2 linked regions of the Schizosaccharomyces pombe genome follow. The protein of the gene in region 1 interacts with the protein of each later gene in a biochemical or structural test. Each region holds a gene or a part of one and is shown on either strand. Other genes may lie near its edges.

Region 1 (10,732 bases):
AGCCTTAAAACGGCTCGTCGGTTTGTGCAAGTGCAACCACTGATCAAAGAAGCAAAGAAACGTTGCCGAACAAATACCGATTTCCGTACTGTACGAAAAAAGCTGTACAAAAGGTTCAATTGTCATCCTCTCATGATTTACGCATTGCCTATTACTCAACTACCTTTATTCGCGTTTGCATCTTATCAGTTAAGACAGGCAGTCGATGTATGTCCCGAGAGTATGTCAACAGAGGGTATGCTTTGGTTTACCGATCTCACATTACCAGATCCTCACGGTGTACTACCTGCGGTCCTTGCTGTTACTTATTTAACAAACATGTCTATATTGAAGCGACCTTCGGATTCTCGATTGCTGAAAATATTCAATACCGCTGGTATAATGTCTGCTTTCTTTGTATCTTTTATGGCATTTAAGACTTCTACGGCATTGTCTTTATACTGGACTACCTCTGCAATTTACTCTTTGGTACAAAACGTTGCATTGAGAAAGCTGTTATAGAAGAGCAAGAGTAATTCTACATGTTTGGTTCTGAAAGGTCTTAACAAAATCAAACCTGACTAGTCGAGACTCACATATTATTCCTTCTTTCTTTCCGTACATAATTACCTACATTCTTATGGTAAAGCTAGGTTTTTGATTTGTTATGGCCTACCAAAAGGAAAATCTTTTGTCACAAAACATCTGATCATGGCAAAAACTGACTGAATTAGTAATGAAAAATAAGATACTTTATTATTAAAATGCCAAATAATATTTAATAAATATCATTAGTATTACAGGCTTGTTCGTGTGACATGAGTTTGGCATTTCAAGGATGACTACCTGCAAAGCTTTTTGAGAAATGCAACCTCGCCGATTACTCCATTTTTAAGGAAGAATTTAACTATTGATTTCATGTAAGTCGTTTTTAAAATTTACATTTTTTTTAAAAACATTTGACTTATTCACACTGTTTATTACGTTAACTACGGTAAATTTCGATAATTTTCCCACTTGCACATCCTTGACTTAAGCTAACCACCACTATGAGCTGCATATTTTGTAAAATTGTTAAAGGAGATATTCCTTGTGTGAAACTAGCTGAAACAGCCTTGTCTTTGGCTTTCCTTGATATTGCTCCTACATCTAAGGGACATGCACTAGTTATTCCCAAGGAGCACGCCGCTAAGATGCATGAACTGAGCGATGAGTCTTGTGCAGATATTCTTCCCCTTGTCAAAAAGGTGACAAAGGCTATTGGTCCTGAAAATTACAATGTACTTCAAAACAATGGTCGCATTGCTCACCAATTTGTGGATCATGTTCATTTCCATATCATTCCCAAGCCTAACGAAGAATATGGATTAGGAGTAGGCTGGCCCTCTTATCCTATTTCTCCTGAAGAAATAAAGGCATTGGGCGAGGAAATCAGCTCTAAGATTAAATAGTTTTTTTTTGTTCTGTGTGTCTCGTTGAATCGAAACTTTCCTTGACTTGGCGAGAACTATAAGGAAAACATGAGCCCTGTCTTTGTAGAATAGGCTTGTGTTTTTCATGAAAGTCGTTATTGGGTGTTGTTTGACGTTTATGTTTTTTAGAAATGAAAAGTTTGTTTTATACACTTTTACCTACTTGTTTTACCTTTCCAATGTAAGTAGTTGCTGTTATCTTTGCATAGTTTAAGGTGAATAAAGGGATTTTGTTTAGTAGTGTGCATACGGAATGTATGGTACAAATGTTTGGACCTGTTATTCTAGTGATTAGAAAAGGTGTGTTTGAAGAACATTGTTCAAATTGTAGTCTAAGGTCTAAATATTAATCCATGCAGGGTAGTTGGTTTCCTAATATGAGGTTATGAAACTTGCAGACGGAAAGATTAGTAAATGTGCATCAGAGAATGTTTATTTCCAGTATCATATTATTTTATTGATGACCTAGCTTGTTTTTTTTCTTTTAAGAAAATGAAAGACATCTTGCGGCGTCAACTTAAAACTTGATTGTTTGAAGAAATTTTTGCCGGACAGCATTGAAGAATTCTAGTATTTTTAACATGCAAAATTATATTTGAGCCTTTCTATCAGGGTATTGCTAATAATTGATCAAAACCACTGCGATAGTATTTACTTACCCAAAGTAACAATTATTCATCAACCAAGTCACACTTGGTTTATAGTAGCAAGCTATACTGCACGAACAAAACTTTTATAATTGAGAGCGAATTTGTGGAATAGTCAGGCTTGATTTTAATAAATCCCTATTATTATCCTTGATCTCATAAAATTTAAGTTTCTTGGGTTGTGCATTCTTTATAGCACCAATGCCAACTCAGGCTGGTTTTTGTAAATTTGCTGAATTTTCGAACATTTATTAATACAATGGCAATTATTGTGGAAGACGGTTCTTTTATTACATCTTCTCAATGGGAAAATGTAGAGGCATCTCCAAAACCTCCTCCAAGGAAGCCAAAGATTGTTCAACCAAAAAAGAAGCCATCGAAGCACTTGAGCAATGAGGATGCTTTAGAAAAATATGAAATGCTGTTTGGTGAAAGGAGAAAAGAAGTGGAACTAGATTATATGAGCCACATTGCGGAAGAAGAGACTTCGTTGAGCATGATTGAGTATGATCGTCATTTTGCACTTCAAACTGACGTGAAATTGTCAAAGAAAAGAAAATCCAAACTTGTTGAAATGACTCCTAAAGGTTTGAAAAAAAGGAAACGCGTGCAAATACAGGAAGGAAGTGTGTCAACCAATACAAAAAAGCGTATGGACGGTCATGTTGTTGGTTCTAGCGCTCCCGCTATAAATAATGGCAAAGGAAAACAACTTTTAGAAATGATGGGTTGGTCTCGGGGGAAGGGACTTGGTTCTGAAAACCAAGGAATGGTTGATCCGGTTGTGGCTGTTGTAAAAAATAATAAACAGGGTCTTCATTAGTTTTTGACGAGGAGATTTTAAATCCTCATAGTGTATATTTACAAAACATTATTTATTTAGAAGGAAAAATTACTTTTCACCATCATTTTGGGAAAGTTTCTTTTTTATAAAGAATTTTATTTTTGGTTGCTCATCATGATGACTATATAAGAAATAATAATTAAAGGAATTTTACTATATTTTACCGTTGAGGGTACAATCACTTGAAATAATTCAATTTCATAAGTTTTTCATAAAGAGAGCAATAGAAAACTGGTAAGTTGAAAAACAGCTTCTAATTGTTAAAAGGACGGAAATACATATTTGGAAAAGGGGGAAGGAATGAACAATGATGAGTGCATTTACGTTAAAAATGGTTAAGTCGAATAGGTGAAGGACAGACTTATCTTCGAAATGGAAGAAAAAAGGAAAAACAGGATATGAGAAGAGATTCAGTAAGGATTATAAATTTAAGAGAGGAAAAGGCTTCGCATGCGAGTAACATCAAAAGCAAAAAGTGAAAAAAACTGTGTATACCCAGATCGCTGTACTGTAAAGTTTCATTTGGATTCTATTGAATAAAAGCATCAGTTGATCAAACTAAAAAATCGATCAGTTAATATAAACAAAATAAAAAAAAAGAGCATTCTAAACATATTTGAGCGAATGTAATAGAAACGTACTTTTTGGAACTTTGAGTTTCTTACTAGTCATAGCAATTCCACTCAACACAAACAAAACCACAAGCGGGTGAAATGCAAAAGGTGTGTTTCCACACCACTCACCCCAAGGTAGATTTTCATGAGTCTTTCCCTTTAAGATACAAACTCCGCAAACGGTTACTAAGGAGAGGGTGGTAGGAATGGGCGTTCCTTCGAAAAACTGAGACTTGCCAGATCCATCTTTAGGAATGGAATTGACAGAAACATTAAAACGAGCCAATCTAGTTAGACCACACAAAACAAAAAGGGAAAGTATAACGGTATCAAGGAACGTTTGGAATCCACAACAAAAGGCAAAGACGGCTGGAGATACGCCAAATGAAATCTATTTTGTTAGTATAATGATATAAAAAGACCGGATAAGAGAGAGAAAAAATATATATAATCAAGAATTATACGCAATCGCATGTTTATTGAGAAAAATTCAGACTCATTGAACAAACCGACATAATGTAAAAAACGAGAAGCAAAAAAAAAAAGCTCGACTTAGCTAAAATGAAGAAAAAATTCAACCAAAGAAGCCTCTTATCATGTTCCTCGTGTTTTTATCATGTCAAAGCAACCAATGTGAAAATAGTCTCGGAACAGATTTGAGAAGTTATACATACCAGATCAGCAAGACTATCCAATTCCTGACCCATTAAGGAAGATTTCCCACGCCAACGAGCCACTTTACCATCCAAAAAGTCAAAAAACAACGCAAATGGCATAAAGTACATTGCATTCCATAAATGGAAAGCTGATTGCTGTCCGCTTAGGCAGTAACGTAAACTTGAAAATATACTCATGACACCGCAAAACCCGTTCATTAAAGTAATCAAGTCTGCAAGGTGGAGGGCTCTACAATCCTCTAGTTAGTATTTCAAGTAATGAATCCTTTTGCAAAGTCCTTTCGCAATGGTGTAAACAAGAATACGTAAATCATACCTAATGAGTGAAAAATGTCTATTATCATTTACGTAGGCCAGTAACTTGTTCTCTTTATCATTGCTTTGGTTTGATGCATCGGATTGTAATTTCAATCCAGGAGAAACTCGTGATCTAACCATCTTCCAAAATTGGCAGTTTCTGGTTCTAATTGTACCTGTTTATTTACCGGAAGTCGAATAACTAACAAAAATAAGGCACCGCAGGGTATCGTTATGGTTGTGATTGAGAATTGTCTAGAAATGCTTAGCGATCCAGGCTTTGGAATTCTTATCAATCTTTTAATGTTTATTTATTAGCATCGTTAAAACAGCATTGTGCGTTCTGTTATTTGAATAAAAGTCGAAAAAGCTAATCAATGAATATAAAACGAGCGAAGTGTTTAAACTATTTTCCAAGCTAAATATGGTGGTTTGTGGTTTTGAATTACATGAAGAAAATAAGAAGAGGGAACGTACCACCGCTGATAGGGGATGCGGCAATTTGTTGTATGATCCAGATATGTGTGCATAAGGCAGTAGAAGGCATCGAAGCAAGATGATTAAAAACCGAGTAATGAATGACCTTTGACAGTGTATATAGTACGTCTCATTTAAAATTCCAAGTTGGACCCAACTCAAAAAGAAACAAATATCACGATCACATTAAGGGCCATTTTTCATCTAACTTTCTATTGTTATTCGACTGGCAAAAAATTGGGCTGTTGTGGGAATCGAACCCACGACCACCATCACCCTAAGATGGTATCATACCACTAGACCAAACGGCCACTATTGTTAAGTAAAAAATTTTATTATATAGAAAGTAAACATGAACTAGCTTATGTTTTTTTTGGAGCTTTTAGCATTGAACAGTACTTTGGTATGCACTATTTATGTAAATACTAGCAAGACCTTGAATTAAAACAGAATGTATTTCCTTTAAATTTTCTATTATTCATAGCTTGATAGTTAAGAACATTCATAACTAACTAAATATGGATTCCTATAATTTTATGTTCTACTATTTAATCTGGTAACAAAGCATCGAATGCGCACTTTTGAGTATTGTTTTAAACTTTTCAAACATCAACTTAAACACTCTGTTTTTTTTTGTACAATTTCTCTTAATAAGATAAAGTTAGATAACATCTTCTGTTCAGTTAAACTTTGAATCGTTTACAAGTACATGCTCATCGTTAACAGAAACCCGAAGAGTTTGGTAAGAGGATATTGTAAAAAAGATATTGTACTTCGTAATTTAGATGGTTGGCTATTTGATATGATCACAATTTCAACCATTTTTAAACTCTACAATCAAATTTGTTCACTTTCCTCCACTGACCGAAAAAAAACCTCAATATCTAATAAACTGCAGCAGGAATTTTGCATTATGGATATAAACAAAGTTGGCAGAAATTTTATTTCTTTAGGAAAAATACGATCAAGTAAGAGGAGAAACGCTATTTTGTCATACCAAACGATCATTAGTTCATTCCCTCATAATCATGTACAAAAACTTTTTCAAAGAACTCAATCAACAAATATGATTTATACCAAGTTAGAATATTTCGGTCATTCTTTGTTCTTTTATTTTACGGCATTTACGCTCTCGTTCAAGGATAGAAAAATCTTAATGCAAGCCGATGTATTTTTTAGACTAAAGCTCGTATTCAAGATAGCATTCTTTTTCACTCAAACAACTTTTTTAAATAAAAAAGAAAATAGGGAATTGTAGGTTTATGGATCATCAAACAAAGGAATACAGTAAACGGACTGCAGCAAAACTAAAGGTTTTTTAGAAAAAAAAAAGATGCATATTTTGTTCACTGAAAAAAAGTAATTTTAAAAGCGTTTTTGCTTAATTAGAAGGAGGTGAATAATCTTGTTTGTGCGCTTCCTTAATGTTTTCCGGGGATGACTCGTGATGAAGTTCTTTAAGCGCTTTTTGAATATCGGAAGAAATTGTTTCCAGCTGTTTTGACCGCATGTCGTACGAATAGATTACTTTGTTGTTTGAGATAATGGAAAATGTTGGAGTTTGATCGTTCGGTAAACGGTGATTAACGTTAAACTTCAAGCCGTAATTGTTGTAATACAATGAAGGAAGACATTCTTTTACAAATTTTCTAGAATTTAAAACGTTAGCAATGAACAACGCATGAAACGGAATCGTAGATCAGTGCTTCCTCACACAAAGTATTATCAAGCAGTTATTTGAGAGAATTAAACATGAATTGAGCATAAAATGTTTGAGGTACCAGTACATAGACAACATCGATGATTCTAACACGAATAAACAAAACTTACTTAGCACCCATATGTCCCAAACGGCTGTCTAAAGAATATTGAATAGATACTTCCTGAATATGTTTTGGTAAAGGAATCCCTAAAGCTCCAGCACGAATCTTGTGCAAAGATTTTTGTAATTTACCGCCTATGCTAGACATGGCGAAAATGTAAAGTTGTAGTAATAATCAGCCAAACAAAAATGAAAGAGTTTGAAACAATATGTTTTTATTCAAATATTCTGTCGGGATGAACAGAGAATATAAATATTAATGAATTAAGCCTAATGCCGTAGATTCGTACTCTCTTGTCAATTGTTGCTTGCTCTCTTTAAAAGCGAGTTCCTTGATCTCGCATTTAACGTAGTTTAGTGTGTCCTTATGCTAAATAAGGGATCACCTAACAGTGCGGAATGGGAGAAATGAGTATGAAATTCTGCAACAAGCATAGACCAAACGACACATTCTCATTATGGATTCAGAAACGCATATTACGATACGAAATATAAGTAAAAACTCGGTGGATTTTGTCCTTACAAATACAAGTTTGGCGTAAGTGAAAAGCTCTAGGAAATTCCTTCTAATAGTTGAAAGAGTTGCAAACTCGCTGCGACGTGTTGTACTTGCAGAGATTCCAACAGTGGGTAAGATTTAGGTTCATTCTTGAATTAAATACTAATGATGTTTTAGCCATTGACCTAGTTGAAATTAATGTGAATACCTCAGTCATGCCTGATGAGTTTCTAGCACATCGTCTTGGTATGATACCTCTGGATAGCTCCAACATCGATGAACCGCCTCCAGTAGGTTTGGAATATACGCGCAATTGCGATTGCGATCAGTATTGTCCCAAGTGTTCAGTCGAGTTGTTCCTAAATGCCAAATGTACTGGTGAGGGTACGATGGAAATTTATGCTAGAGATCTTGTTGTTTCTTCTAACTCTTCTCTTGGACACCCTATTCTCGCCGATCCAAAATCACGCGGACCGCTTATTTGCAAACTCAGAAAAGAGCAGGAAATTTCTCTGCGTTGCATTGCCAAGAAGGGTATAGCTAAAGAACATGCTAAGTGGTCACCTACTTCAGCTGTTGCATTTGAATACGATCCATGGAACAAGTTACAGCATACTGATTACTGGTTTGAGAATGATGCAGATGCAGAGTGGCCAAAAAGCAAAAATGCCGATTGGGAAGAACCACCGCGGGAAGGCGAACCATTCAACTTCCAAGAGGAACCGCGTCGGTTTTATATGGATGTCGAAAGTGTCGGTTCTATACCACCCAATGAAATAATGGTTCAAGGTTTACGAATTCTTCAGGAAAAGCTTGCAGTTTTAGTTCGTGATCTCGACGAAGAGCAGCCTACTCAACTTTCTGCTAACGAACTGAATATGGAGGAGAATGCAGAAATGAACTGGTCTCCCTATCAAAATGGTGAAGAAAACACGTGGTAGACTATGCTTCAATTCTTTTCTAAAAATTATCCATTTTCATCCTTTATATGTTTGTTGTTATAAAAAATACTCTAGATGCGTTTTTTTAATCATCTAAAAGTTTTTAATTTATGGCCTGCGTCCGTTCATGTCATACCTTACACATTTTTATCTAATCCTTTTTTTTTTGGCTTTTGGCTACAACATATTGTACGTATTGATATGCATATATAGAGATATATATTCCTCCCTCATATCATAATTTTGTTCTTCTTCACTTGGATTTATTATAGCTTTAGATAATTTCGTGAAAGAGAACACTTTCGGAATTGTCGTTTTGATATCTTTTTAATTTTCGGTGATTGCCTCTTGAACTCTTTGTTGGAAAGTTTATATCGGCTCACCATGCTCACAATGAATAGACAAAGTTGCTACAAGTGGACAACGAGATTACAGAATACAATTTTTTATAACGATGTTTTATTCGTTTACCAAAAATAAAGACAACAAAAAAGTTTTTAAAAACCTCAACACTTTAAAATAACATGTACAACGAGAACCGAAAGCGTCTCCTTTACTTTTATGCTGAAGAGTTTTCTTCTTCAGCGTATAATTTTTCGGTTTCCTCAATTGCAGTAACATTTGAACGTAGTTTGTTTAAAGTTTCCACGTACTCATCTTGTTCATCTGAATCAAACACAATACCACCACCGGCTTGCAAATAAACAGTTCCGTCTTTATAAACCATTGTACGGATTGCTATACAAGTATCCATGTTGTCATCTTCATAGCCCCAACGACCTACGGCTCCCGCGTATATACCACGCTTTTCTTTCTCTAATCCATAAACGAGCTGAATTGCACGGACTTTGGGAGACCCACTGACCGTTCCAGCCGGAAATATACTACGGAATGCATCAAAACGAGTTTTATCAGGTCTCAGAACACCAGAAACTTGAGAAACAAGATGCTGAACATGAGAAAACTTTTCAATAGTCATCAACTTGTCAACACTTGTTGTGTCGAGATCACAGACACGACTGACATCGTTTCTTGCCAAGTCCACCAGCATTACATGTTCAGCTCTATCCTTGACACTAGCAAGTAAATCCTTGGCATATGCCTCATCCTCTTCTTTAGTTTTTCCTCTTGGAACAGTTCCGGCAATGGGATGATTGATAATACGCCCATGCTCTGATTTAACCAGTAATTCAGGGGAAGCACCGATTATGTCGAAATCATCACAGTGGATGTAGAACATATAAGGGGACGGGTTAACTGTTCTTAAATGGCGGTACAAATTAAAAGGATGTAAATCTGTACGCCTAGCAATCCGTTGGCTTGGGACAGCTTGGAAAATATCGCCATTAAAGATATGTTCCTTGAGGTTGGAAACAAATGCTTTATACCCGTCTTCGCCTACATTTGACTTAGCTTCGTATCCTAAATGGACCTTCTTTTGCTCAGGCAAAGGAATTTCAGGACTTTCAAGTTTCTTTTTAAGCATATTGATTTTGAAAACGGCAGCTTCGTAAGCCTCTTCAATGGGTCGGCCTTGCTGAATGCAAACATGAGAAATTATCTTGACAGTCTGATAAGCATGATCGAAAGCGACTAAATCGTCGGTCATGAAAAACATAGCCTCCGGAAGACCCAAGGTATCTTCTAAAGGCATTTCAGTAGTGGGTTCAAAATATTTGATGCAATCATAAGAAACATAGCCCACAGCACCTCCACTGAAAGATGGCAGACCCTCAACAGGGGCTGTTTTAACTTCTTTCAACTCACGTTCTAAACGTGCCAAAGGATCTGTTTTTCCATTGGCCATTAATATTCTATAAGGGCTGCCAATAAAACTGTATCTTGAGACACTCTCTCCTTGAGTGACACTTTCTAAAATAAACGAATACTTCTTTCCTTGATTAAGCTTCAAGTAGGCTACTGAAGGAGTCAGCATATCGGCAGGGATTACTCCATAAATGGGAATCTTGTTAGCCTTGTGCTTTTCAGCAAGCTCTTGAACTTGTTTCAAGTCAGGATAAATCTAAAATAGTATTAGTATCATGTATTAATTTTAAGCTTCATAGCCCTAGAAACGGCGACTTTTACAGTTAAAAGCAATACAACAAAGGAAAGACCCAATCCTAAACTCGTCAATATATCCCAATACTACTATTTATTTTCCATAGGTTGGGTCTCCTTGTTAGAACAAAAAAAATCAAATTACCTTCATCTTATTGACAAGTCTATACTCGAATAAGTGCAAATTCAATAGCAAACCAAAAAAATCCCTTAAACTTGAACCGATCTATTTCCAGAAAGACAAGCAATTCCAAATTTTTCTGTAAGCGAAGAAAGAAAACAAAAGAACCAATTAATTCAACAACGTAAAGCTGCTGGAAGAAGACAACTTGTGAAAGTTGGAAAATTCATCTAAATTAGATGAAAAATATAACGGATGCGTTGGAAAACGTTATATGGTTA
Region 2 (3,473 bases), on another chromosome or scaffold:
GCATCGTTGCATGATGATAACTGGTGACAATCCTCTGACCGCCGTATATGTAGCTGAACAAGTTGGTATTGTTGAAAAGCCAACCCTCGTATTGGATATTAAGCATGAGAATGAAAAGATTTTAGAGTGGAAGAGCACAGATGATACAATCAATTTACCCATGAATCCTCATAAATCGTTGGAAGCTTCGTTGTACGAAAAGTATGATCTTTGTATTACCGGTCGTGCTTTGTCTCAAATTATCAATCCGGACGTTATTATGTCAATTTTTACTCACGCTTGGGTTTATGCGCGTGTTTCTCCTTCTCAAAAAGAATTCATGATCTCAACTTTGAAACACAATGGATATATAACTCTTATGTGTGGTGATGGTACCAATGATGTGGGTGCTCTTAAACAAGCACACGTTGGTGTAGCTTTATTAAATGCTTCGGAAGAAGATATGCTTGAAATGCAAGAGAGAGCTCGTAATCAGAAGTTGATGGGCGTTTATGAAAAGCAAATTCAACTTGCTAAAAGATTTAATCTTCCAACTCCTCCTGTTCCACCTGCACTTTGCCATGCTTTCCCTCCTGGTCCTAACAACCCTCATCGTGAAAAGACTCAAGAAGGCTTAAATAAGGTCCTGGAAGATTTGGAAACTAAGAAAGCTAGTGATGTTCAATTAACGGAAGCTGAGAAAGCTGCTGAAAGACGGGCAAATCTGGCTAACAAGATGTTTGACACTTTAGCAAACGCTTCTGATGATGAGGCACCGAAACTTAAGCTAGGAGACGCTTCTGTTGCTGCACCATTTACTTCTAAATTAGCTGTAGTTTCTTCGATAACCAACATTGTGCGTCAAGGTCGTTGTACTTTAGTTGCCCTCGTTCAAATGCATAAGATTTTGGCTCTCAACTGTTTGATCACTGCTTACTCGTTGTCAGTACTTCATCTGGATGGAATTAAATTTGGTGATACTCAATACACTATTTCGGGAATGTTAATGTCTGTTTGTTTTTACTGTGTTTCACGGGCTCGTCCACTTGAAACTCTTTCAAAAGAAAGGCCTCAAGCTGGAATTTTTAACACTTACATAATTGGTTCTGTTTTAGGTCAGTTTGCTATTCATATCGTTACCCTTATCTATATAACTCGTGTCGTTTATCTGTATGAGGATCCTTTAGAAAAGGTGGATTTAGAAGAAACCTTCAAGCCTTCTTTGTTGAATACTGCCATTTATTTGCTTCAACTTATTCAACAAGTCTCAACGTTTGCTATCAATTATCAGGGCCGTCCTTTCCGTGAAGCTTTAAGTGAAAATAAAGGAATGTACTATGGCCTTTTGGGCATTGCCTTTGTCGCTATTGCTGGTGTAACTGAGTTTTCGCCTGAACTCAACGCAAAACTTCAGTTAGTTAAAATGGCTTATAATTTCCAGATACAACTGTTAGCCACAATGGTTGTAGATTACGCGGCTTGTTGGATTATTGAAGAGCTTATGAAAAAATACTTCCGTGACAACAAGCCGAAGGAAATTGTTCTTCGTAATTAAGAACAATTATATAAGTGGGTTACACCTACTTATCTGTACAAGCTTAGATAAATATTCATTTGAACAAACTGATGAGTAATTGCATTACTCACTGATGGGCAAGGATGTCAATTTTCTTCGGTCAGTATACAATATTTATCACCATTTTCAATTTGATTACTTGTTATGAATATTTTACATAGACTCAATGATTGATTCATTCTTGGCATATTTGATTTATTAATTTGGAATAGTGTAAGTGAGCTTTTTATAGGACGTAATAGATGCTTATTAGAGATAAAATAATATTCACTTGTTAAAATCCTTCTCAGTAGCAAGGTGAAAGGCATATAAAATTTGGGATATTTCTATAAGCGCTATCCCATGATACTGGGACTTCGTAAATCCTCGAACGCTCAGCATATATCAAGCAATTGCGAAAACCGCTGAAAAATTGGGATAATTTAATTTAATAAAAAGAGCTAAGCTCATTTAAAGTTTTTTTTTTTAATGTTCATCATTTTTGCCCTATTTTGAACCAAAATTTTACAGTTTTAATACGCATCGACCGATCGAGTTGAATTGGGGCTTTTCTGCATTAACTTATCGATACAATGCCTTTCTTCCTCAAAGAGCTTTCGTTAACGATTTCTCTGCATCCCAGTTACTTCGGTCCTAGAATGCAGGACTATTTAAAGGCAAAATTGTTGGCGGACGTGGAAGGCACATGCTCAGGTCAATATGGCTATATAATTTGCGTTTTGGACAGTAATACTATAGATATTGATAAAGGGAGGGTAGTTCCTGGGCAAGGGTTTGCCGAATTTGAGGTAAAGTATCGTGCAGTGTTATGGAGACCATTTCGTGGGGAAGTGGTCGATGCAATTGTTACAACAGTAAATAAAATGGGATTCTTCGCAAATATAGGACCATTAAATGTCTTTGTCTCATCTCATTTGGTGCCTCCAGATATGAAGTTTGACCCTACTGCAAACCCTCCTAATTATTCTGGTGAGGATCAAGTTATTGAAAAGGGGTCGAATGTCAGACTTAAGATTGTCGGTACAAGGACTGATGCAACCGAAATTGTAAGTTTCCCAATAGTTCACAATATTTATTTTGCTTAATTAATCGTGTTACTAACATAATATCTAGTTTGCCATTGCAACAATGAAAGAGGATTATCTAGGCGTTCTTTAAAAAGATAAAATTTTAATTTGTCTTTTATTTCTCATGTTCATTAATTCAATGCTAACCATCGCGTATACTGTTATTATTAAGTTCCTTTCTAGGTCTCAAAGTTTATTCATGTAGTTGTAAAAGCGCATACCAACGTTTATCGATCTAAATTTTGGCTCTATTCTGTGGTAATGTTATGGCTAAAAGCTGCGCAATATCTTTAAAAAAAAATTTTAACTTTATATACCCTTTACACAACAATAGAATTTCCCTAATTATTGTATATAATCGCAATATCAATCGACGATTTCCTTATGAATACAATCTTGGGCTAGCATTTTATCTATTAGGAGTGCATAAGTCTTTATCGTTCTTCGGTAAATAGAAAACCATGAAAATATTCAAATACCTTATAATCAAAGTATGCATTTAACATAATGATAATATATTACTCAAATAAGTCAGAATGCGAAAACCGAATTGTAATAAAGAACTAATAAATAACAGAATGGAAAGTCACTTTGCCTTCTCGTGATGAATTCCTTTAAAACCACGGCTTATTCCTTTTCGCATTTTGTTCGTAAGGTTAGCCACCGAGGCAACCCCATCAACAGCAACATTACCTACAGTACTAATGCCTTTAAGAGGCATACCAACAATCGAAGCAGTCTGTCCAAGAATTCCTTCGACAAGAGAAGAATTTCCGGCGCGTTTGGAACGAAGGACCCATTTTGGGCTCAGAGTTATACGAAGATAAAGAACTCCTTGTTTGCTATCCAAA

What was found. The genes of interacting proteins can lie anywhere in the genome.
Region 2: the proteins of rpb3 (region 1) and rpb7 form a complex in vitro, tested with the Schizosaccharomyces pombe proteins (one study listed by BioGRID).

Annotation. Positions count from the first base shown.
Region 1 is NC_003421.2:1,783,535-1,794,266, reverse strand, and holds the start of rpb3 (DNA-directed RNA polymerase II complex subunit Rpb3), read left to right. Parts: upstream 1-7,268; 5' UTR 7,269-7,287; coding exon 7,288-7,367; exon of another isoform or gene 7,368-7,409; coding exon 7,410-7,459; exon of another isoform or gene 7,460-7,505; coding exon 7,506-8,269; 3' UTR 8,270-8,828; coding exon of another isoform or gene 8,829-10,292; 3' UTR 10,293-10,475; coding exon of another isoform or gene 10,476-10,481; 3' UTR 10,482-10,732. Other genes in the region: protein Cox18, read left to right, coding at 1-501; hnt1 (adenosine 5'-monophosphoramidase), read left to right, coding at 1,029-1,430; sqs2 (G-patch type RNA-binding protein), read left to right, coding at 2,358-2,921; CDP-diacylglycerol-serine O-phosphatidyltransferase Pps1, read right to left, coding at 3,496-3,500, 3,584-3,947, 4,231-4,462, 4,550-4,671; SPOM_SPCC1442.11C (uncharacterized protein), read left to right, coding at 5,717-6,265; mrp49 (mitochondrial 54S ribosomal protein mL61), read right to left, coding at 6,389-6,656, 6,838-6,977; trp3 (anthranilate synthase component I), read right to left, coding at 8,829-10,292, 10,476-10,481. UniProt on the Schizosaccharomyces pombe protein: DNA-dependent RNA polymerase catalyzes the transcription of DNA into RNA using the four ribonucleoside triphosphates as substrates. Component of RNA polymerase II which synthesizes mRNA precursors and many functional non-coding RNAs.
Region 2 is NC_003424.3:2,900,161-2,903,633, forward strand, and holds rpb7 (DNA-directed RNA polymerase complex II subunit Rpb7), read left to right. Parts: upstream 1-1,923; 5' UTR 1,924-2,127; coding exon 2,128-2,601; exon of another isoform or gene 2,602-2,668; coding exon 2,669-2,713; 3' UTR 2,714-2,973; downstream 2,974-3,473. Other genes in the region: P-type calcium transport ATPase Cta4, read left to right, coding at 1-1,534; tcb3 (tricalbin), read right to left, coding at 3,209-3,473.